Linked DNA regions of Xenopus tropicalis. The protein of the gene in region 1 purifies or fractionates together with the protein of each later gene. This does not show direct contact. Links are inferred from orthologs where the notes say so. Each region holds a gene or a part of one and is shown in the gene's direction. Other genes may lie near its edges.

Evidence for each region.
Region 2: the proteins of rprd1b (region 1) and rpap2 purify together in Homo sapiens (affinity purification with mass spectrometry; 5 studies listed by BioGRID and IntAct, counting the BioPlex papers as one, with this or other methods). This does not show direct contact. The link is inferred for Xenopus tropicalis from reciprocal best matches to the Homo sapiens genes RPRD1B and RPAP2.
Region 3: the proteins of rprd1b (region 1) and polr2c purify together in Homo sapiens (affinity purification with mass spectrometry; 3 studies listed by BioGRID and IntAct, counting the BioPlex papers as one, with this or other methods). This does not show direct contact. The link is inferred for Xenopus tropicalis from reciprocal best matches to the Homo sapiens genes RPRD1B and POLR2C.
Region 4: the proteins of rprd1b (region 1) and pdrg1 purify together in Homo sapiens (affinity purification with mass spectrometry; 3 studies listed by BioGRID and IntAct, with this or other methods). This does not show direct contact. The link is inferred for Xenopus tropicalis from reciprocal best matches to the Homo sapiens genes RPRD1B and PDRG1.
Region 5: the proteins of rprd1b (region 1) and uri1 purify together in Homo sapiens (affinity purification with mass spectrometry; 3 studies listed by BioGRID and IntAct, with this or other methods). This does not show direct contact. The link is inferred for Xenopus tropicalis from reciprocal best matches to the Homo sapiens genes RPRD1B and URI1.
Region 6: the proteins of rprd1b (region 1) and rprd2 purify together in Homo sapiens (affinity purification with mass spectrometry; 4 studies listed by BioGRID and IntAct, counting the BioPlex papers as one, with this or other methods). This does not show direct contact. The link is inferred for Xenopus tropicalis from reciprocal best matches to the Homo sapiens genes RPRD1B and RPRD2.

What each region holds. Positions count from the first base shown.
Region 1 is NC_030686.2:39,351,733-39,355,232, reverse strand, and holds part of rprd1b (regulation of nuclear pre-mRNA domain-containing protein 1B), read left to right. Parts: intron 1-54; coding exon 55-184; intron 185-1,151; coding exon 1,152-1,288; intron 1,289-3,500. UniProt on the Homo sapiens protein: Interacts with phosphorylated C-terminal heptapeptide repeat domain (CTD) of the largest RNA polymerase II subunit POLR2A, and participates in dephosphorylation of the CTD by RPAP2. Transcriptional regulator which enhances expression of CCND1.
Region 2 is NC_030680.2:104,537,919-104,542,149, reverse strand, and holds the start of rpap2 (putative RNA polymerase II subunit B1 CTD phosphatase RPAP2), read left to right. Parts: upstream 1-1,431; 5' UTR 1,432-1,520; coding exon 1,521-1,575; intron 1,576-4,231. Other genes in the region: glmn (glomulin), read right to left, coding at 264-302.
Region 3 is NC_030680.2:76,281,164-76,284,663, reverse strand, and holds part of polr2c (DNA-directed RNA polymerase II subunit RPB3), read left to right. Parts: intron 1-677; coding exon 678-806; intron 807-2,248; coding exon 2,249-2,300; intron 2,301-3,500. UniProt on the Homo sapiens protein: Core component of RNA polymerase II (Pol II), a DNA-dependent RNA polymerase which synthesizes mRNA precursors and many functional non-coding RNAs using the four ribonucleoside triphosphates as substrates.
Region 4 is NC_030679.2:29,800-33,861, reverse strand, and holds the start of pdrg1 (p53 and DNA damage-regulated protein 1), read left to right. Parts: upstream 1-1,262; 5' UTR 1,263-1,293; coding exon 1,294-1,383; intron 1,384-1,651; coding exon 1,652-1,727; intron 1,728-2,490; coding exon 2,491-2,565; intron 2,566-2,840; coding exon 2,841-2,921; intron 2,922-3,177; coding exon 3,178-3,260; 3' UTR 3,261-4,062. UniProt on the Homo sapiens protein: May play a role in chaperone-mediated protein folding.
Region 5 is NC_030680.2:71,244,142-71,247,641, reverse strand, and holds part of uri1 (unconventional prefoldin RPB5 interactor 1), read left to right. Parts: intron 1-1,373; coding exon 1,374-1,554; intron 1,555-2,661; coding exon 2,662-2,923; intron 2,924-3,500. UniProt on the Homo sapiens protein: Involved in gene transcription regulation. Acts as a transcriptional repressor in concert with the corepressor UXT to regulate androgen receptor (AR) transcription.
Region 6 is NC_030684.2:127,642,418-127,645,782, reverse strand, and holds the end of rprd2 (regulation of nuclear pre-mRNA domain-containing protein 2), read left to right. Parts: coding exon 1-1,561; 3' UTR 1,562-2,865; downstream 2,866-3,365.

The sequences.
Region 1 (3,500 bases):
GATGAAATACAGTATGTGCAATATCTAACCCTGTGTTTTCTTTGTCGTTTCTAGCCAAGTCAAGCCGGAAGCTGACTTTCTTGTACTTGGCCAATGATGTTATTCAGAACAGCAAACGAAAAGGACCAGAATTCACCCGCGAGTTTGAAAATGTGCTCTTGGATGCCTTCTCGCATGTGTCCAGGTATACCCGGCATTGTGTTTTTAATATACAGAGACATATATTTAAATATGAGGTAGCATATTATTATTATTGTGCAATTGATACTTTGTATATGTGAGGAGAAGTGGCCATAGTGCTTGGTTTGTCATTCTCTTTAGATATCAAATGAAGATCACCATCTTGTGGTCATAAATACATAGTGCTTACCTTAGAAATTTATTGTAAAAAAAGAAGAGTCGGCAAATCTCTAATGCAAAAGTGCAGAGAGGCAAAATTTTATACGGACACAGTTATTTCCTTATATTTTGTAGTTAAAGGGAACATAAACAGAATGTGACTGTAAACAAGGCAATTTCCTTCTCTCTAATCTTGGCACACTTAATTTGGGCATACTGCTCCATTAAATCCATAATATAGTAGCGTTTACCCCCTGAATGTTATAACATGGCCTTTCAGGCTAAACGCAGTTTGCTGGAAATCTTAACAGTTGTTTATTGAAGAGTGAGGGATGAAAGTAACATCCATTGTGTCCCTCTGATTCCATGTCTGGCACGCAGTGTCACTGGCTGTGTTTCAGCATCACTCCTCCAACTCGCCATTTGCCACAACCAGCTGCTCACTCCCACCTCTTCATGTCTGTGATTGGGCGCCCTTAATAAGTACAAAGGAACACTGATTGAAAATTGACCAAGCACAGTAGATAATTGATTCATTACAGTGAAATTGTGTAGGAAATCCAGAAGCAGTATGGATGCCAAGGGTCATATAAATATCTCAATTTATTGTGGATATATTTCATTTGTGAACACATTTTGTATCCAGCTGTAATGCTGCTCACGTATGCACTACCATTTTGGTAACCTAGCAGTGTGTCCCATATACTGTATTCCTCTCACATACTGGATTCCTCCCATATACTGGATTCCTTTCTTTTGGCATCTTTATATCTCCATTGGCCAAGCATACCCACTTTTCTTCTCTCCCGCAGCGAGGCAGAGGATGGGTGCCGGAAGCCTTTGGAAAGGTTGCTGCATATCTGGCAGGAACGCAGCGTTTACTCGGCTGATTTTATCCAACAGCTCCGACTGTCAATCGAAAATGATGAGAGCCCCAGGGAAACACCAGGTACATTGTCTCCATCTGACCCTTTGTTCAAGCTTTGTTTAATTCTATATATTTTTCTCCCAAAGCAGCAACTTGGCCCAGTTTGGTTCTGATTACAGAAATGCCCATTGGAAATTTGCAATTGGGACCCTCAGGCTTTATGAACATATATACTGTGACCTATTAAGGTTTTGGGGTTATAGATTGTAGAACAATTGGTTACCTGAAAGCAGTTTTAAAGCTGGCCATACACGCACCAATAGTATCGTACAGAACCTTGTTTTGTATGACATTTGGTGCAAGTATGGTGGATTGACGTGAAGACGGATATCGCAAGAGTGTTGGATATTGGTCGTCTTCTCGATCGGGCGACGTTGAAGGCGCCTGAGCAAAATCTGCATTTAGAGTCTTCAGGGGGAGGTAGAATCCCTATTGACAATACTGACAATTGCCTCTGCTAAAACACACGTAGAGACATTTTTCAGTAAATGATCAGCATTTCCTGTTTTAGTAACTGTGACATGTGACATAAATCTTCGTTGCTGCGGGCGACTAATCTACCTGCAATGCCATCCCACCGGCTACAATGTAAATTGCTTGTGGGATGGCATACGCGTTATGTCCCGCACTCGCCCAAAAACTACGGGCAATTTACATTGATGGCATTGCGGGGAGATTAGTCGCCCGCGACAACGAATATTTGTCGCGGGGTGACTAATCTCCCTGTGTACCCCTGCCCTAAGGGTGCTACAGAGCTACTAGTAGCAGCTACTTTTTCACAGCTACTAAAACTGGAAATGCTAATCATTTACTGAAAATTGTCTCCAGAGGTCCTTATGATTATATCCGTACAATTTGGCCAACCGCGAGGATGGACACATGAGACAGACATATTTGGTGATCTGTACAAACTAGTTCTTTCTAGGCCAAGCTCTAGATTTGTGTCTGTATTATGTTTATTATATTTTTCCTTTGACCAATGCTATTTGTGTTCACTTGGGAAGTGACTGCCAGCTTTGCTACTAGGAGGAAGTGTGCATCACAAAGATGAGGGTTTTGTACAGGAATAGTGTTTTCCTTTAGATTTTGGGCTATGGAAGTTAGTGATAGAAGGGCAAGTGGTTCATTTAAGGTCATAAATACCTGCTATATTTATCATTGAACAGAGTTACAGCAATTCCCTAATTCTAAATTGGGCCAATCATATGGAGGTTTTCAATAGTCATTGCTTAATTTAAACCTACATCCTCCCACCAGTGCTAATGGGATGAACCATCTGAAGTGATCCACTAGGTTCAATGCCCCCTACTGCTGCAGAGAAAGCTGGGATATAAGCAATGAATTTACATCAGCGTTATAGGGGAAAAAAATACGCCCAGTCCTTTCTTTAGGTCATATTTCATCCTCCTGTAGTTTGAGGTAGATCAGTTCCACCACGGAAGGGCTCAGAAGCGTAATGGCGCCAGTCCCAGAGCTGCAGCGCCCGACTTGTCTCCTAGAGATAAAGAAAGTCTTTGGGCTCGCTGGAAGAAGCCAGGCCGGCTCATTATGGAAGCAAGAGAATTATTTCTGGAGTGTAAAAACTGAATAATTTAATAAAGATTTCCCTGCTGTGGGATTAAAGGGGATGATTGCCCGCTGCTGTCTATCAAAGTGGCGTTTTTTGTTTTTTTTTACACAACGTAGCCTTACATTTGGAAAAGCATACACACTTGCTCATTTCAGCGGGCGCCAAGTTAATCTCTTACAGCAGGACTGTAGCCCTAGGATAAGTAGTAAATGGCGGCTGACATAAAATCGGTGACATGTGGGTTAGCGGCGCATTGTGTTCCCTGCCGTTGCTTTATGGCATGTGCAATTAACGCCTGCTTTCTTACAATTCAGGTGCTTTCCCCTGATAAGATGAAGAGCTAGCAGTACTGGGAGGCTCCCAGAATGCACTTGGTGCTGCCCTCGAGCAGACAATAGCAAGGCTCACTGCTGTCAGGAGAATAATGGGAGTCGCCGGCTATTCTTAGGAATGACTTATGTTCGCAAGCATGGCTCCTTTCTTCTAAGAGATGCCTTTCTCCCCAGTCAAAGATCATTTTAGAAATTACTTCAAGTTGATTGTTGATAACAGTATGTGTTTTTACCACCTTAACCCAGGCCTTTAATAAGCTTTTGTATTTCTCTAATCAGAGTCTGTGCCGGGTACTGTTATGTGATCATAGGTTATGGAGCGATATATAAA
Region 2 (4,231 bases), on another chromosome or scaffold:
TATGCTATGTGGTTGGCCCCAGACAACCCATTCCAATGCTGTAAGTAAATGCCCCTTAATGTCTTATTTGTATCATATATCGATCTTTATTTCTGCAGTGGTGCATAGACTAATGCCCAGGGTGTTTGTATAACTTATATCCTATATTTACAAATGCACAGAATTATGGCTATTTTACCACAATGTCACAGAAAGTTAACAATAAATAACATTTTAATTAGCAGACTTTAAATAATCAAGCCTATGATACTATAGGTACTTACAAATTTCTCAGTTAAAGATTGCAAATCTGCAGCTGCCATATCACACAAGAGAGCATGAGCACAAAAGGGTGATGCCTGCACAAATATAAATATAAATGGCAGATAAATCAGAAGAAAAGGACATAAGGTTTACAGATTATGTCTTAAGGTTCTACAGATGAAAGCAGATAAATTAAACTCATTATGGTAACTCCTTATGGTACCTGCTGGCTAATGTTTACATGTATTGTAGAACAAGCATAAATGCACATTAAAGGAACAGTAGAACCAAAAAATGAAGCTGATTTTAAGTAAATTAAAATATAATTTACTGTTGCCCTGCACTGGTACAACTAGTGTGTTTGCTTTAGAAACACTAAGGGCTCTGGCACACGGGGAGATTAGTCGCCCGCGACAAAACTCCCTGTTCGCGGGCGACTAATCTCCCCGAGTTGCCATGACCCGCAAAAAGACTCACAAGTCTTTTTCGGCGATTTCGGGAAATCGCGCCGCCGCGTGTGCCATCCCGCCGGCGACTTACAAGGGAGATTTGTTGCGGGAGACTAATCTCCCCGTGTGCCAGAGCCCTAACATAGTTTATATAAATAAGCTGGTGTGTAGCCATGGGGGCAGCCATTCAAGCAGGAAAAAGGCACAGGTTACATAGCAGATAACAGATAAGACACAATTGTATTCTACAGGGTTTATCTGTTAGCTGCTGTATAACCTGTGCCTTTTCTTCTTTTAAATGGCTGCCCCCATGGCTACACACCAGGGTTTTTATATAAACTCTAGTACAGACAGTCATGTAAAAATGCAGATGGCTGTTTCAAGCATGTGTGCCATATTTTCAGCAGTTTCTATTGTCCATAATGGAAAGTGACAGGTGACAAGTTTCATGTGGTTTTTGAAAATGGAATTTTTAATTCTAAGTAGTCAGTTCTTGTTCACTGTGACAGGAGTGGAGCTGGTCTACCTGAAATCCATCACAGTTTAACTTTGACAACACATAAGATCTATAACCGTTTTTTGCTAAAGTCAAAGTAATTCTAATGAGTTCTAAAGTGCAAAGAGTTGTGCTGTACCGTACCTGAATGAAACTGAGCCGATCGCAACGTTCCAGCAGATGAAACAGAATGTACAAATCTCAGGACACGTGACCTGTAGAATTGTCACTATAGCGTTCCACACGCTTTGCTGCTTTGCTTCCGGGTGCGACCATATCGAGGTGTGGAACAAAAGCTCCGCCCAGTGGGAGGCTGTCTGCTGGTGTGGGACATGGCGGAAAGGGGGAATATGTCTAAATCAAGGAAGGCTCGGGCAAAACATTCAGGTGCGGATAAGAAAGGGATTTCTAAACTATTCATTGCAGACTATTAGCAGGGGATGCCCATAATCATGTGCACATATGAACTGAGTATTGCCCCTTGTATAAGGTCTAACGCAGAGTTGAAAACTTCCAGTGTAAAGCGATGTACAGAATTAGTGTTGGCATCACCATCATCTCTCACGTTATTGCTTCACATTTGTTATAAATATGTATTTTAAAAATGAACTGGTTTGTCCCGCTAAGTAACTCAGCCTTGTGTGAGTGCGCCCTGCTGTGACACAAGTGCTTCAGAATGCTATACTATACTATAGCTAGAATGTATAGCTACAATCATGCACACATGAGTATCTGCAAATACTTTAGCCGGTGTATAGCTACAATCATGCACACATGAGTACCTGCAAATACATTAGCCTGTGTATAGCTACAATCATGTGTACATGAGTACCTGCAAATACTTTAGCCTGTGTATAGCTACAATCATGCACACATGAGTACCTGCAAATACATTAGCCGGTGTATAGCTACAATCATGCGCACATGAGTACCTGCAAATACATTAGCCTGTGTATAGCTACAATCATGCGCACATGAGTACCTGCAAATACATTAGCCTGTGTATAGCTACAATCATGCGCACATGAGTACCTGCAAATACATTAGCCGGTGTATAGCTACAATCATGCACACATGAGTACCTGCAAATACTTTAGCCTGTGTATAGCTACAATCATGCACACATGAGTACCTGCAAATACTTTAGCCTGTGTATAGCTACAATCATGCACACGAGTACCTGCAAATACTTTAGCCGGTGTATAGCTACAATTCTTCACACATGAGTACCTGCAAATACATTAGCCTGTGTATAGCTACAATCATGCACACATGAGTACCTGCAAATACTTTAGCCTGTGTATAGCTACAATCATGCACACATGAGTACATGCAAATACTTTAGCCTGTGTATAGCTACAATCATGCACACATGAGTACCTGCAAATACTTTAGCCTGTGTATAGCTACAATCATGCACACATGAGTACCTGCAAATACATTAGCCTGTGTATAGCTACAATCATGCACACATGAGTACCTGCAAATACATTAGCCGGTGTATAGCTACAATCATGCACACATGAGTACCTGCAAATACATTAGCCTGTGTATAGCTACAATCATGCGTACATGAGTACCTGCAAATACTTTAGCCTGTGTATAGCTACAATCATGCACACATGAGTACCTGCAAATACTTTAGCCTGTGTATAGCTACAATCATGCGCACATGAGTACCTGCAAATACATTAGCCTGTGTATAGCTACAATCATGCACACATGAGTACCTGCAAATACTTTAGCCTGTGTATAGCTACAATCATACACACATGAGTACCTGCAAATACTTTAGCCGGTGTATAGCTACAATTCTTCACACATGAGTACCTGCAAATACATTAGCCTGTGTATAGCTACAATCATGCACACATGAGTACCTGCAAATACTTTAGCCTGTGTATAGCTACAATCATGCACACATGAGTACCTGCAAATACTTTAGCCTGTGTATAGCTACAATCATGCGCACATGAGTACCTGCAAATACATTAGCCGGTGTATAGCTACAATCATGCACACATGAGTACCTGCAAATACTTTAGCCTGTGTATAGCTACAATCATGCACACATGAGTACATGCAAATACTTTAGCCTGTGTATAGCTACAATCATGCACACATGAGTACCTGCAAATACTTTAGCCTGTGTATAGCTACAATCATGCACACATGAGTACCTGCAAATACATTAGCCTGTGTATAGCTACAATCATGCACACATGAGTACCTGCAAATACATTAGCCGGTGTATAGCTACAATCATGCACACATGAGTACCTGCAAATACATTAGCCTGTGTATAGCTACAATCATGCGTACATGAGTACCTGCAAATACTTTAGCCTGTGTATAGCTACAATCATGCACACATGAGTACCTGCAAATACTTTAGCCTGTGTATAGCTACAATCATGCGCACATGAGTACCTGCAAATACATTAGCCTGTGTATAGCTACAATCATGCACACATGAGTACCTGCAAATACTTTAGCCTGTGTATAGCTACAATCATACACACATGAGTACCTGCAAATACTTTAGCCGGTGTATAGCTACAATTCTTCACACATGAGTACCTGCAAATACATTAGCCTGTGTATAGCTACAATCATGCACACATGAGTACCTGCAAATACTTTAGCCTGTGTATAGCTACAATCATGCACACATGAGTACCTGCAAATACTTTAGCCTGTGTATAGCTACAATCATGCGCACATGAGTACCTGCAAATACATTAGCCGGTGTATAGCTACAATCATGCACACATGAGTACCTGCAAATACATGCATGCACAAACAATTGCTGTAGGTTTGAAACAATTAAAGGAAATCAACTTTAAAAAAATATTATATTGTTTTAATAAATAATTAGTGTTAACAGTTTAAGCTTAAATTATGCCTCTACTGTCTAAAATACTTTTAACTTTACCCTAAGTTTTCATGTGTTACTTTGTGTCATCTGACAGACCTAAAACAAAGGTTTTCTTGGAAGCCATGCACAGTTTTCATTAAAGCAACATAGTACTGCTAAATAATT
Region 3 (3,500 bases), on another chromosome or scaffold:
TGCTAAGTAATCTATGTGCAGTCATCTGCCTTTAATGAAACTCAGGTATTATGCCAAGCAGGGTGAAAAATAAAAGATTATCAACTAATGTATCAAATTAGAACAGTGGCCCCCTATTCCCCAGCTGCTCTATGGAGACATGAAAAGGCGAAATATGAAACTTCAATATTAGAAAAACAGAAAAAATAAAAGCAGTTGGGGGAAAAAAAGCCTTTATTTCTGGTGTACTATCTGAAGGTGAGCGACCCCTTTAGGCTCATGGCTCACGGGGAGATAAGTCGGACATGGTTAATCTTTGGTATCGTGGGTGGCTAATCTCCCCCAAATGCCTTTCCACTGGCATCAAAGTGAATTGCTGGTGGAAAGGCATACACATTGCTTCATTTTTCTGGAGTCAAGTGAAGTTTCCTCCTGCAGGCAACTTCACGTGACTTTGGAAAATAAAGCGCCGCATGCGCCTTTCCAAATCACTGGTGGAAAGGCATTTTAGTGAGATGGATATACATTTTCTGATCAGATGATTACTAGGATGAATTTCCAAATCTTCAAGGCTGAGATTTTATTAGCTCATTTTGATCTGTTCTTCAGACTTCTATCTAGGCTATCTGTAATAAAACTTGCCATAGCTTCTTGCTCTTACAATGCAGTTTTGTCTTCTCCAAAAATCTTCTGACTAGGATTGTACATGTGATGAGTTTTGTCCAGAGTGCTCTGTGGAATTTACTTTGGATGTCCGATGCAATGAAGACCAGACACGCCATGTGACCTCTCGTGATCTTGTCTCAAACAACCTCCGCGTTATACCAGTCAGTCTCCTGTTTTATTTTCATTTTGCTCAGAATTGATTATGTACGTTAGTGATGTGTTTGGATACTGCTGAATCTAATCAGCCACTTTACCAAATCCATAAACATTGAGTTTAGTACATCCCTAATAAGTTGGCTTTAAAAAATGTTTATTTCCTTTAATGTTCAATTAAAAATGTTAAAATGTATTATTTTGCTCCAGAAAGCTTTTTTTATGTTTTATATATATATATATATATATATATATATATATATATATATATATATATATATATATATATATATATATATATAGAATAGCTGTAGAGAGAGTCCGCACTCACAGGTCTTAAGAAAATATAGAAGTTTTATTCAAATCAACATCTAACGTTTCGGCTGCATCCACAGCCTTTCTCAAAGACAATGTGAAACAAACAATGGTGCACTGAAAAAATCGAATTTGGCGCCAAACAATGACGTCATAGGTGTGAATACATTAGCATACAGTGTGAAAAAAACGCTCTCAAAACACATTGAATCAACAAAAAATGTTAAGATAATATGGATTAGGCATAGAACACAAACAAAAGGACTGTCAGGGGAAAGGAAAAGTGGGTGTGTATTAAAAAAGCCCGCTTATGTATCTAGTTTTTTTTTTAATACACACCCACTTTTCCTTTCTCCTGACAGTCCTTTTGTTTGTGTTCTATGCCTAATCCATATTATCTTAACATGTTGATTCAATGTGTTTTGAGAGCGTTTTTTTCACACTGTATGCTAATGTATTCACACCTATGACGTCATTGTTTGGCGCCAAATTCGGTTTTTTCAGTGCACCATTGTTTGTTTCACATTGTCTTTGAGAAAGGCTGTGGATGCAGCCGAAACGTTAGATGTTGATTTGAATAAAACTTCTATATTTTCTTAAGACCTGTGAGTGCGGACTCTCTCTACAGCTATTCCATCTATTATTTTGGGACTGCGCTCCCTTGGACCTACTTATACGTGAGTGCCTGTCTTCTTGCAACATATATATATATATATATATATATAATTTTTTTTTTTTTTTTTTTTTGTGACTGAAGGAGCCCTTAAGGTGAAGTAACCCCTAGATAGGGAAATAGTGTAACTGAGGGGTGCCGTTGTGCAAATAAGGTCGAACTGATTTAAATTGTTCTGTTATTAAAAATTGTTTAGTTCACTGGTTTATTGTGATACTAATAACCCAGGCAATGTCTCCTCTGGTGTACCAAATCACTTTCCTGAGTTAAAAGGCATTAAAAAGGAATTAAAGGGGCTGTCTGCCTTTCATTCACTTTTTCAGTTTCCTTCTTTTCAGATTACTCAGGTTACAAAGTTGGTAAACACTGTTCACAAAGATGCTGACAATTTATTTTTTTATTTATTTTTCTATTTGCTTAACACCTTGAGTGTCACCTGAATAGACATTTTTTTCCTTGCAGGTGACATCACGAAGCAGAGACAATGACCCTAATGACTACGTGGAGCAAGATGGTGAGTTTTTAGATATAAGCAGTTGTGGGCCAAATGTGAGGTGCCAATAAGGTAAGCCCAAACCCTTGGGCAGCAATGCAGTGGCAACGAGCAGAGCATCCCTGCTATTTACTATTGCATAGTCGCCTCCCTCGCCTGGTCTGAGAGTAGGAATTATAAAATGATGAATTAAAAGTAGGCAGGAAGATGAGGTATATGCCTTGCACTCCCCCTTCCTCTGTTGTGCCCTAGGCATGTGCCTCTTCTGGCTACCACTAGTTCCATCCCTGGATATAAAGCTTCTGCCTCAATTCACAGCAGCTGAATGCTTGCCAGAAAGTAGTGTGGCTTTTTGTTTATTAACAATAACAGCATTATTATGCATTAATATGCAATTTACTATGTGTGTCAGTTTGGTAGATACAATGCTAATGTAACACTTTCTAATTTCTCTTGCATCTTAGGGCACTGTACTTTGCTCTTAATTTATGAATACAGACTGAATTAGCGCCTTAGTGCTATATGCAGTGTGTATGAAGCATATATAAGTGTAACTACTTATGTGAATTGCTTTAAATTCCTCACCCAAGGCCTGGTCACCAGCCCAGCTAAATCAGTCATTCTGCCAGTTGTCCCACAACAGTTGCCAGATAACCAATCAAATATACCTTTCCCTATGGTTCAGCAAATCACTTACCTAGGCGTTGTAATTAAACTCCCCCTATCAGAATACAACCTAACTGTACTACTGGTTAAAAACTATATACAAAAGAAAAATAAAGCATGGGAATCCCTCCTAATTGGCCCAATGGGCAGAATACATCTTATCAAAATGATACTCCTCCCCACACTAACTTATGCCCTCTTGCAAGCCCCTTGTGTTATTAAAAAAGGGTTTTTTACTGCAATAGATACAATATTTAGACAACTAATATGGGCTGGCACCCGACATCGCCTAGGCCTGAATACTCTGATTAAAGGCAAATCTAAAGGGAGAGCAGCATTCCCGAACATATATCTATACTACATAGCAGCCCAACTAAGCCACATAGCATCTTGGGTTGAGGATGCAACCCATTAGTCACTGTACCATCTACATAAAGCCCTACTAGGGACCTGCTATACCCCCTTTCAGTGGCTACTTACTTAAGGACCCCAACCAATAGCATACCCCAACCAGGTTATTATGCATGTACGTCAAATTTGGCAAAAAACGGTACA
Region 4 (4,062 bases), on another chromosome or scaffold:
GGGGAAGGGGCGCTTAAGAGGTGACATGATAACTATGTATAAATATATAAGGGGATCATATAATAACCTTTCTAATGTTTTATTTACCAGTAGGTCCTTCCAACGGACACGAGGGCACCCACTCCGTTTAGAAGAAGGGAGGTTACATTTAAATATTCGGAAAGGATTTTTTACAGTGAGAGCTGTGAAGTTCTGGAATTCCCTCCCCGAATCAGTCGTACTGGCTGATACATTATATAACTTTATATAGGGGCTGGATGGATTCTTAGCAAGTGAGGGAATACAGGGTTATGGGAGATAGCTCTCAGTACAAGTGAAGGAATACAGGGGTATGAGAGATAGCTCTCAGTACAAGTGAGGGAATACAGGGGTAGGGGAGATAGCTCTCAGTACAAGTGAGGGAATACAGGGGTAGGGGGGATAGCTCTCAGTACAAGTGAGGGAATACAGGGGTAGGGGAGATAGCTCTCAGTACAAGTGAGGGAATACAGGGGTAAGGGAGATAGCTCTCAGTACAAGTGAGGGAATACAGGGGTATGGGAGATAGCTCTTAGTACAAGTTGCCCCAGGGACGGGTCCGATTGCCATCTTGGAGTCAGGAAGGAATTTTTTCCCCTCTGCGGCAAATTAGAGAGGCTTCAGATGGGGTTTTTTGCCTTCGTCTGGATCAACTAGTAGTTAGGCAGGTTATATATAGGCATTATGGTTGAACTTGATGGATGTATGTCTTTTTTCAACCCAACTTACTATGTTACTATGTTACAGTAGAACAGCCCCTTCCTACTGGTTTGCCCTGCTCCCATGTACAGTAGAACAGCCCCTTACTAATGGTTTGCCCTGCTCCCATGTACAGTAGAACAGCCCCTTCCTACTGGTTAATAAATTTCTCCAGCAGGGGCAGAGCAGCCAATCAGAGAGAAACTATAACTCCCAGAGGGAGCAGTAACTGTTCTTTCACTCTAACTCCCAGAATTCCTGCTATTAAAACTACTATTCCCAGAATGCCCTGACAGCCGCTACAGCCAATCGGTGGCAGGTCCCTGTAGCCCCTCCCTCGCAGTGTCAGACGCTCAGGCAGTTCTGCAGAGTCCAATCCAGAGGTTTCTTATCCTCCCACGCCAGTCTCTGGGCCGAAAGCAGCGAAGCATTTTGGGAAGCCACCGCCCCCTTCCCTCTCCCCGGTACAGCTTTGCGTTCCAGATTCCCAGGCGCCTGCTGATTGCGTCATAGCGACTCACTTCCGGCAGGCTCATCGTGGGCTCCCAGTACACACTTCCGGTTGCCGTGGTTGCCATGGAGCAGTTTGGGGGCCCGCAGAGAGTGTTGTCCTACCTGCAGGAGGTGGAGGGGAGAGCGGAGGATGTGCTGGGGAAGCGGCGGCAGGTGGGGCCGGGGGTAACATGGGGGCCGGGGGGTAACATGGGGGCCGGGGGGTAACATGGGGCCGGGGGGTAACATGGGGGCCGGGGGGTAACATGGGGGCCGGGGGGTAACATGGGGGCCGGGGGGTAACATGGGGCCGGGGGTAACATGGGGGCCGGGGGTAACATGGGGCCGGGGGGCTGGGGGTAACATGGGGCCGGGGGTAACATGGGCACCGCTGGGTAGTAAGGGTCACTGCTCTGTATAACTGTGTGTCATTCTGTCCCAGATTGTGGATTTGGATATAAAGAGAAACCAGAACAGAGAAGCCCTGAGGTCTCTCAGCAAGGACCCCTCTCCAGCAGGTAAGTGAGAGGCACTGGGGGGCTGCAAGGACCCCTCTCCAGCAGGTAAGTGAGAGGCACTGGGGGGCTGCAAGGACCCCTCTCCAGCAGGTAAGAGGCACAGGGGGGCTGCACCTTGCCAGCAGGGTAAGTAGGCAGCACAATACGCTATGGGGGGGAGTGAGGGTGAGATTGCAGGGAGGAAAGGGCTACTCCAGGGAAAAAGCCAGCCCTTAGCGCTACACTCTATTGCCCACAGCCAAGGGGTCCTTGGTGTCTGGAAGCCAAAGCCACTGCTGGAGACAGGAAGGAAGTGATGGTACCCCGTAATGTGTGTCATGTGACTCATTTAGAACAAACATAAATACTGGCACAACAGGGCTGTTTCAGCGGGATGAACCCTGCTATCTTATTAGGTGCAAACCATGTACAGTTTCGGGGTGCGCCCCTTCATGCGACTTCCAAACATTACATGGTTTGCACCCCGTAAACTAGCAGGGTTCATGAAACAGCCGTGTTGTGCCCGTGTTTATGTTACAGCAAAGGCTGCCAATCACTCGATACTCAGCACCAGGCAGAATGTATGTGCCAAGGCCAGGGTGTACCGGTGAGTGTTACAGTTCATGTTACTAAGTTAGCACAGGTTGCAGGGATCAAAAATGCTCCAACTGAGCAAGGATTGGGTTAACGGTCTGAACTCTTTGTGCTGCCAGCTTGTCATTCCTTTTTGAGAAAGAACAGTTGTTAAGTGCCCCAATGGGTTCCTTTCTGTCTGTGCTTGTAGGAAGGGTAACTGTCTGCTTTGGGAACATGTTCATAGAGCTCCCCAAGAGCAAGACCAAGGAGATCATAGAGCGAGGTGAGTGTGGGGGTACATAGAGTGAGTGTGGGGGTACATAGAGTGAGTGTGGGGGTACATAGAGTGAGTGTGGGGGTACATAGAGTGAGTGTGGGGGTACATAGAGTGAGTGTGGGGGTACATAGAGTGAGTGCGGGGGTACATAGAGTGAGTGCGGGGGTACATAGAGTGAGTGCGGGGGTACATAGAGTGAGTGCGGGGGTACATAGAGTGAGTGCGGGGTTGATGGCAGGAAGGGGAATCACAATGTGTGTTTGTACCATTCTCTCCCACAGACCAAGAGCAGCTGGATAAAGAGATTTCAGGGCTTCGCAGGGAGCTGAAAGTGAAGGTGAAAGAGCTGTACGAGGCCCAAGGTGAGACTCAATAACACAATCTATTAGACACCCCCCCACCAATGATGCAAATTTGGCCCAGTTTCATTATTGATACTCTCTGAGCCCATCAGTAGGGTGAGCAGTGCTCCCCAAATAACACAGACTTGTACCCACACAGTGAGAGTTACATGGGTACAGGCTGGCCCTAGTGCTGAGGTTCATGTTCGCACAGGATGACCCCATTGCTACTATTGGTTCTGGCTTGGCACCAAGACTCTCGTGTTTCTGTTGGCAGGAAAGCCAGAGCTAAAAGGCTTCGACCTGGTGGCACTCTCGACAGAAGAGATGAAATCCATTCAGAAGGCGCTGGGAGAATGAGGCTCTGCTAGATAACAGCATTTGGGGCAGATCATCCTTATCTTGGGCCCTCACAGCGCAGGGACTTTAGTTCCTACAGTACGGATCTATCTGAATCAGATGAAAGAACTTATAGTGCAACATGAATGTTACCCCCAGGTGCAGAACCTCTAATTCATTACAATTTGATTAACTCCTTGTTCCTTGGATTTATGTACAGTGCAACTTAGAAGACACTTAGCCTTTAATTCTGAGGAGCAAGGTGCAATTGCCATATTTAGGGGTTAATTTATCTACTGCTTCTTTTCTAACTGGATTCAGTTCATCCCACAATCCTGTGTATTTGTACTGTGCATAGACTGGATGGCTCTACCCACTGGTATCCTTGGGGCTCACGCCTGCACCCCGGATGTTATTTGAATCATATGGGTGTGGCTCACTGAGGCCCCACTAGCTGGAGGGCACACACAAAGGTTGGACTGAGCTGGGAATCCCCATCCACCATCTTATCTGAGCTTTGTACCTATAACTCTAACACTCCTTAACACGTTATATCTGATGGGCTCTGCATGGCAGGCTTTGTGGTGGCCCCCTGCAGGGCCCAGTCTTTGCTTTGTTGGAGGGAATAAAGCTAGGGTACCTGTCAGGACTGTGCGTAAATATCTGTACCCCATTATATAGTAAAGAATAAGTGATTAACCCCATTGCTGCTGAGCTGCTAGTGACACAGTCACAGAAGTGCTGGCAGGTCACCATGAGCCCGTCAGAATGGTTGCTGTGTAACCAGAACTCATGTCTCCTAGAGGACTTTAGGCCGGCAGTG
Region 5 (3,500 bases), on another chromosome or scaffold:
TTTGATTCATCACTTTGCAGTGGGCTTGGTCTCTGTAACATCCGAAATACTATATAAACCGCAGACTACCTTCCTCCACCTTCTTTATGTATGTTTATATGTGCCTGCATTTGTATTGTATATGAGTGCATATATATGTAGATATAAACACTTCTTTTTTTTCCCTACCGCTCTGTGAAATTTGCATTACATTGACTGCTTTAATGTCATCTAGTTGTTTTGCTGCATTGATCTCTTGCTCTTTGCTATCAAGGCCAATTGTTTTAAGAGGGATTAAAATTCATAGCAAAGCTGAAGAAAGATTCTCTGTTGCATCTTTTATTACTAGAGCAGGATACTTGTAATGAGAATAAAGATTTTGGATGGCAATAGAAATAAACGAGTTGCATAATCACAAAGAAAAGTAGCACTGTTAAAATACGAACCAGTGGGGCTCATTTATAAACTTTGTGCTGCACAGAATGATTTGCCCAGTGTTAAGATATGACCTACATGTGTTTGTTTAGAAAGCTTGGCAAGATTGGTGTATTCGATGTGCAAATATAATTCAACATTTTTATTTGTGCTGTCCGTTTTAAATATGGCATTGCAAATATTTATTTACAATATATATTTTAATTACTATAGATATACAAATATAATATTTATATATATATAGTCACCGAGGAGTCACATGACCATATAAAAGCACGAGGTCGCATGCCAAGTGCTTTTATACAGGTCATGTGAGTCAGAGGTGACTTCCAATATCTCTTTAAATTATAGTAAGGGGTGTATTATCCATAACATTCTGCAGTGTTTCTATGGACAGTGTCTTCAAGGAACTCTGTGTTTGCTCTATTTTATTGCAGAGACACACTTAAGTCTCCTCCTTTTCCTTCCCCTTGTTTTTTTAACATTCAGTTTTACCTATCTCTGTAGTCCCTATGCACTGGTGGTTTTTTTGCATGCAGGTTGGAATCAGCAGGCAGAGCAAGACTTGAGAGGAACAGAGGGTAGGAGGAACAGAGGGAGGGAGACCGGTGATGAAAGGTGGGAGTGGCAGAGGGAGCAAGACCTGATCAGGGCAGAGGGGAGTTCAGAGGGAACAAGACTGGAGAGTGAGCGCTCCCTTTGAAGTAAGGAAGAGGGGGAAGTCAGACATTTTGGTACCCCCAGTGACTTAGCCTTTCCTTCTCCTTTAATGTCATGTTTTGCTCCAGGTATGTTGTTTGGTGGAAAATATGACCAGTAATCAACTGCATAAATGGACACCAAGCTTTAAGTAGGATGTTTTTAAAATTATACTCTAAATCTCAGAATGAGGCATTTCAGATTTTTTTCAATTTGTGGATGAAACTTTTGATTTAGTAACATTAGGAGTTTCTTAACAGGAAGCCACCGCATTGCACACAAGCCTCATTCAAAACCAAAGGTACCTGACTGTTTTGAAGAGGAGGTTGCAGAACATGAAATGGGAACAAAACCTAAAACCACGTTTTTAGACAATGAGGAACTGTGGGCAAGATTGGAAGAGCTTGAACGGGAAGAAGAGTTACGTGGAGAGCTTAATAAGTAAGCTGTATTTGTTTTTTCCCATTTGTATGTGTGAGCCATTTAATATAATTTATAGGTTGATTAAGATATCACCTTTGGTGCCAAACTAAAGTATATTACTGAACAGTATTCAAAAAGCTTGTATAAAGCTTTATTATGCCAACATAATGAAAGCCAGATCACCAAGGAAGTGGAAAAAGCGCATATATATATATATATATATATATATATATATATAAATATATAATATAGTAAGTAAGGGACCTTTCTCAAGACACAAAGGTATGTAGCCCACTTTTGTGACAGTGCTGCTACTCCCGTTACCTTGCCCCTTCCCTTTGGGGTAGCCGCTTACCAAGCAGCGATGATCCTCCTTGTATGAAGAGACCAGGACACTGGTATGATGCTTAACCAGTAGAACTTATTTATTGTAGACAGAACAGACAGCCAGGTTATCCAGAAGCACACTTGCAGTCAGGGTACACACTTCTCTTTGGAAAACCTCTTTCCCTGGGGCTACCCATGGTACTCCCACCAGGTGATCCTTTTTTTGGGGTTCCCTCCGGTACTCGCGCCGGAAGACCCTCTGTAGGGCTCTCCCCGGTACTCCCGCCAAGCGGACACCCCTTTTGAGACCTCACCCCGGTACTCATGCCTGAGCACCCACTGGATTAGGAATCCCCTCATACTGACAACTATACCCTACCCCCTGACTCCAGCGATGTAGTGCTGGGGGATCTTAATCGCACTGGCTCCTGTCGGGGAGATGTCGGCCCTTACTAAATAACCCATCTATCACTCCTAGAGTGATCTCTCACTTCCCACACTGCTTTCTAAACACAGGCCTGTTATTCACCCCTCTACCAAAGGAGGTCCCAGGCAGAAAACCTGCTGAACCAGAAAATCTTCCCTTTTTATATTCTAACACACCCAGTGGCCACTGCCTGAACTACAGGGAAACTCCCTTTTTCACACAAAAACAACTAGGACCACCTTTAGGTGTCCAAATCCCATGAGGCCACCCTCTAGTGCCTGTCTAAACGGGAATCCTCCTGGGGGCCAATTTTGGGGATCCCTACAGGTATATATATTTTTATATGTTCTGTATGCTCTTATTTATTGCAGTATTGATGAGATACAAAATGGAATAGATCTAGGATTTTCTGAAGAAGACAAAGAGAATCGAAAAACTGATCTTAATGTGTCCCAAGAAGTGAGAGAATCTCCAACTCAGGGAAATTATCTAAATACAAAATCAGAGTCGGCAGTGAACACCAGTGGTATCAGTGTTTCAGTTTCACACCAGAGTGATGGTGAAGATGACTCCGGCTTCATTAAAAACTCTGTGGCAACCATACATTTTCTGCACACAGTTGAACCAAAAAGAGTAAGTATAAGTATAACTGTAAGGTATAATGCGGTAGGGTAGTTATGCATTTGAAAGGAAAACTATACTCCCAAACAATGTAGGGCTCTATAAAAATATATTGCATGAACAAGCTCACATGTAAAACCTGCTTCATCTAAATAAGCCATTTTCATAAAAATATACTGTCATGGCCAAAATTGTTGGCACCCCAGAAATTTTTACAGAAAATCAAGTATTTCTCACAGAAGAGTAAGTAACACATGTTTTGCTATACACATGTTTTGCTATACACATGTTTTGCTATACACATGTTTATTCCCTTTGTGTGTATTGGAACAGAACAAAAAAGGGAGTAAAAACAGCAATTTGGACATAATGTCACACAAAACTCCAAAAACGGGCCAGACAAAATTATTGGCACCCTTAACTTAATATTTGGTTGCACACCCTTTGGAAAAAATAACTGAAATCAGTCACTTCCTATAACCATCAATAAGCTTCTTATACCTCTCACCGGGAATTTTGGACCACTCTTGCTGCAAACTGCTCCAGGTCTCTCTTATTGGAAGGGCGCCTTTTCCCAACAGCAATTTTA
Region 6 (3,365 bases), on another chromosome or scaffold:
TATATTCAGTCAGTCCCAAGATTTTGGCAGGCAGTCGTTTCCACCTTTACGTTCTTTCAGCACGGGCGAAAACAATGCCCAATTGTCCCCATCTACTCAAATGTATGAAACTTACAACAGCTTAAGTAAGCTTGAGGCTCCTAAATCTCCCTCAACCCCAAAGGATGACCCATTTTTCTCCTCTGACAGTCATAATTTGCCAGGGTTACATTCTGGTATGTCACGAACTCCATATACAGATTCTCCCCGTACTCAAAATAGATCCCATGCTTTTACCAATAAGAATACTAGTAGACCACCAATGTCAAATATGGAGCAAACAGACAATGATGTGTCAGCTACTTCAACTATTGAATTTAAAAACATGCTTAAAAATGCATCTCGTAGGCCATCTGATGAGAACCAATTCAACCAGTCGGGCAAAGGCAATTTTAATGAAGATGTGAAAATTTCTGGCCTTGGTCATACTGGTATGACCTCTGAAGAGAGACAGCTTCAAGAGGAGCATTATCGCATAGAAACAAGGGTGTCATCTTGTGTTGACTTACCTGACAGTGGTGAAGAAAAAGGTGCTCCAATTGAGACCCTGGGGTATCATAATTCTGGAAACATGAGGATTTCAGGGGAACCTATAAAAACCGTAGAGTCAGTAAGAGTTGGAGTAAAGGGGAACAGAGGACTTGGCATAGATGGAGGTCGAGGGAGTTGGTTTGAAATGGGTAGCAGAGGTAGTCCATTTAATGACGGTCCATCCAGTGCTGATGATGAGCCATCAGTAAGTGGCAGCAGTGGGGTAGGAGGGTTTGAAACACAGTATGATGAGCACTTACCACAGTTTCAAGACACTATCAGTGAATTTAGAGCAAAATCTATGCAGGCGTTTGAGCATCGCTTACCTCCGCCTCCATTACCACCATCCATGGTACCTCCTTTAGATCGTGGAGGACCATTTCAAAATGAGCCAGCTGGCCCCCCATCTGTTCCACCCCCTGGTTTACCACCTGATCGTTTTTCAAGGGACATGCCTCCACATATGCCCCCTGTAGAAGCTATCTTGTCTCATGGTACTCACCCTCCACCCAATGAACATGGAGGCAATCCTTTCTCTGGACCTCCACCTCCAGAACATGGGGCAAATCCTTTTTCTGGGCCTCCTCCTCGAGACCAAATTGGCATGCCATTTTCCTCTCCGCCATTAGATATGCGAAATCCTTTTTCACCAGACCATGGAAACATTCATCAATCAATGAAGGATCATTTTGGTTTGGGCCCAGGACTACAGAGAGACCTTGGAGCTTTACCTCGTGATCACAATGGCCCAATGCTTGGTAGATTAAATGAAACACAAGTTCATTCTAGAGACCATCTTGGAAACTTTAGTGCTCCTCCACATCATTTTAATGCACCACATCACAGAGACAATGTTGGTGGCCTCAGATCGCACCGACCACAATTTAGGCCCAGGGAACAATATCAAAGCTTAAAAAGGCCAAGGCCACCTTTTGCACGAGGTCCACCATTTTTTACCCCAAAACGTCCCTTCTATCCCCCAAGGTACTGATACAAAAGTGTAAAATCATTAACGTGCATTGGTACTGGTCCACATTGGCTGTTATTTGGTCAGGGAGTTTTGTGTTAGTTGAAAATAGCTTAAACCTGGAAAGCTAACAACAAGATTTTCATTTTTCCTGGTGTAAGGCCACAGATATAAAGTCACTTTACAAAAAGTTGACTTTTTAGTGGAGGAATTTTTTTTTTTTTTGATTGTAAGAAACACCCATCCATTTGCCCACCCATTCTGATGTCTACTTCATCAACCAGTCAGCAGCTGGGTGAATATTGCAGTTGTCCTGAAGTGAAATCTGATGCCTAAATATTCATGTCTGAGTCACAATATGGAGCCAGTGAACTGTTTCGTCTGCTCAATTCTCAACACCTCTGAAGCCTATCCTGAATCAACCCATTGCTTTCTTATATCCAGATAGGTGAGTCACAGGGGCAGTTATAGGGAGGCTAGTCTATCTGAGGTCAGATAATTGCGTTTTTGTTTTGATAACAAGTGTTAACATTTCCTCTTTAGCATTGTTGCAACACCACAAACCCTTTCTCTTCACACCACAGTGAATCAGGGGAAAAAAAAAAAATAAAGTCTTCAGATGCAATTAACCTGCATCATTCCACCATTCAGTTTCAGGACTTGTGCCGGCTAAGACGTGTTCCAGTCCATACTTCTCGGAGCTTGAGGAGCAGAGTTTGAAGACTTGGTGGTGTTAATAAAACTCCAAGTTGTACCTTATTCATTCTGTGTTTTCGGCAGTTGCAAGGTTAGATGTTCTTTGTAACCAATTAAGGTTTCGAGTAATGCAAGGTTAAATACACAGTTGTATGTATCAGTCTACAACACAATTCTGAATGACCAACATAACCTTTATCCATGCATATGTCTATATGTGAAATTAATACACTTTTACCTTGTGTTATAAAGACCAGTGAATTTCATTTAATGTCTTCAGCATGACTTTTTCACAAGTGCTTGCGTTTAATCCATGAGGTACCTTCTAACATGGGCTAATGTTAAGCACTCGGACATTGTTCCAGTTGATAGGTAATACCCCTTTCTCCTAATTATTCTTCACAAATGTTTTGGTGGGTTCTAACACAAATTAATGTTGTAATGTTCTTAATTTAGTGTTTGAGAGCAACATACGTTGGTCAGAGTGTAGCATCTCTGGACCGTAAGAAAGAAAATGTAATTTAAAACAAACAAACCATTCAGCCATTGCTTTGCAGCAAAGATTTTTTGGGTGACACTGGGCGTGCAGTTGTTTGACAGCATTTTCACATTATATAAGGAAACTGACATTTCATATTTTCTCTTTGCACTTATATGACTGAATCTTGTACAGAATATGAATATGTGAGGGGCTGAACTCCTGTCACACCAACTGCTTTGTACAAGTTGCAAATTTGTTAGTGAGGAAAGGATACTGAAACTTAATTTATTAAGAACTGCTTGACAGAAAATTGGGCTTAGAAGCCCCTGTTAGGACGTACTCGTCAATCACACAGCCATGGAATATATAAATGGGCAATAATAAGTCAGACAAGATAATAACTTGCGTTTTGTATCTAAATTGTATTTAATGCATGAAATGTTTCATACCATTGAATATTAACAGAGGGTAAAAAGGCATAGTTGTATTTAAGAAATGAAAATTTGTTAATTGCTCATGCCCATACTGCGTTCAGAGCCCAACACAAGAATTTAAATTAACATTGCTCACAAATGGAACTAGCAGAAAATTTAAAGGGGTTGTTCACTTTTGGTCTTCATTTTTTATTATTTCTCAAATTGTGCAGCAGCT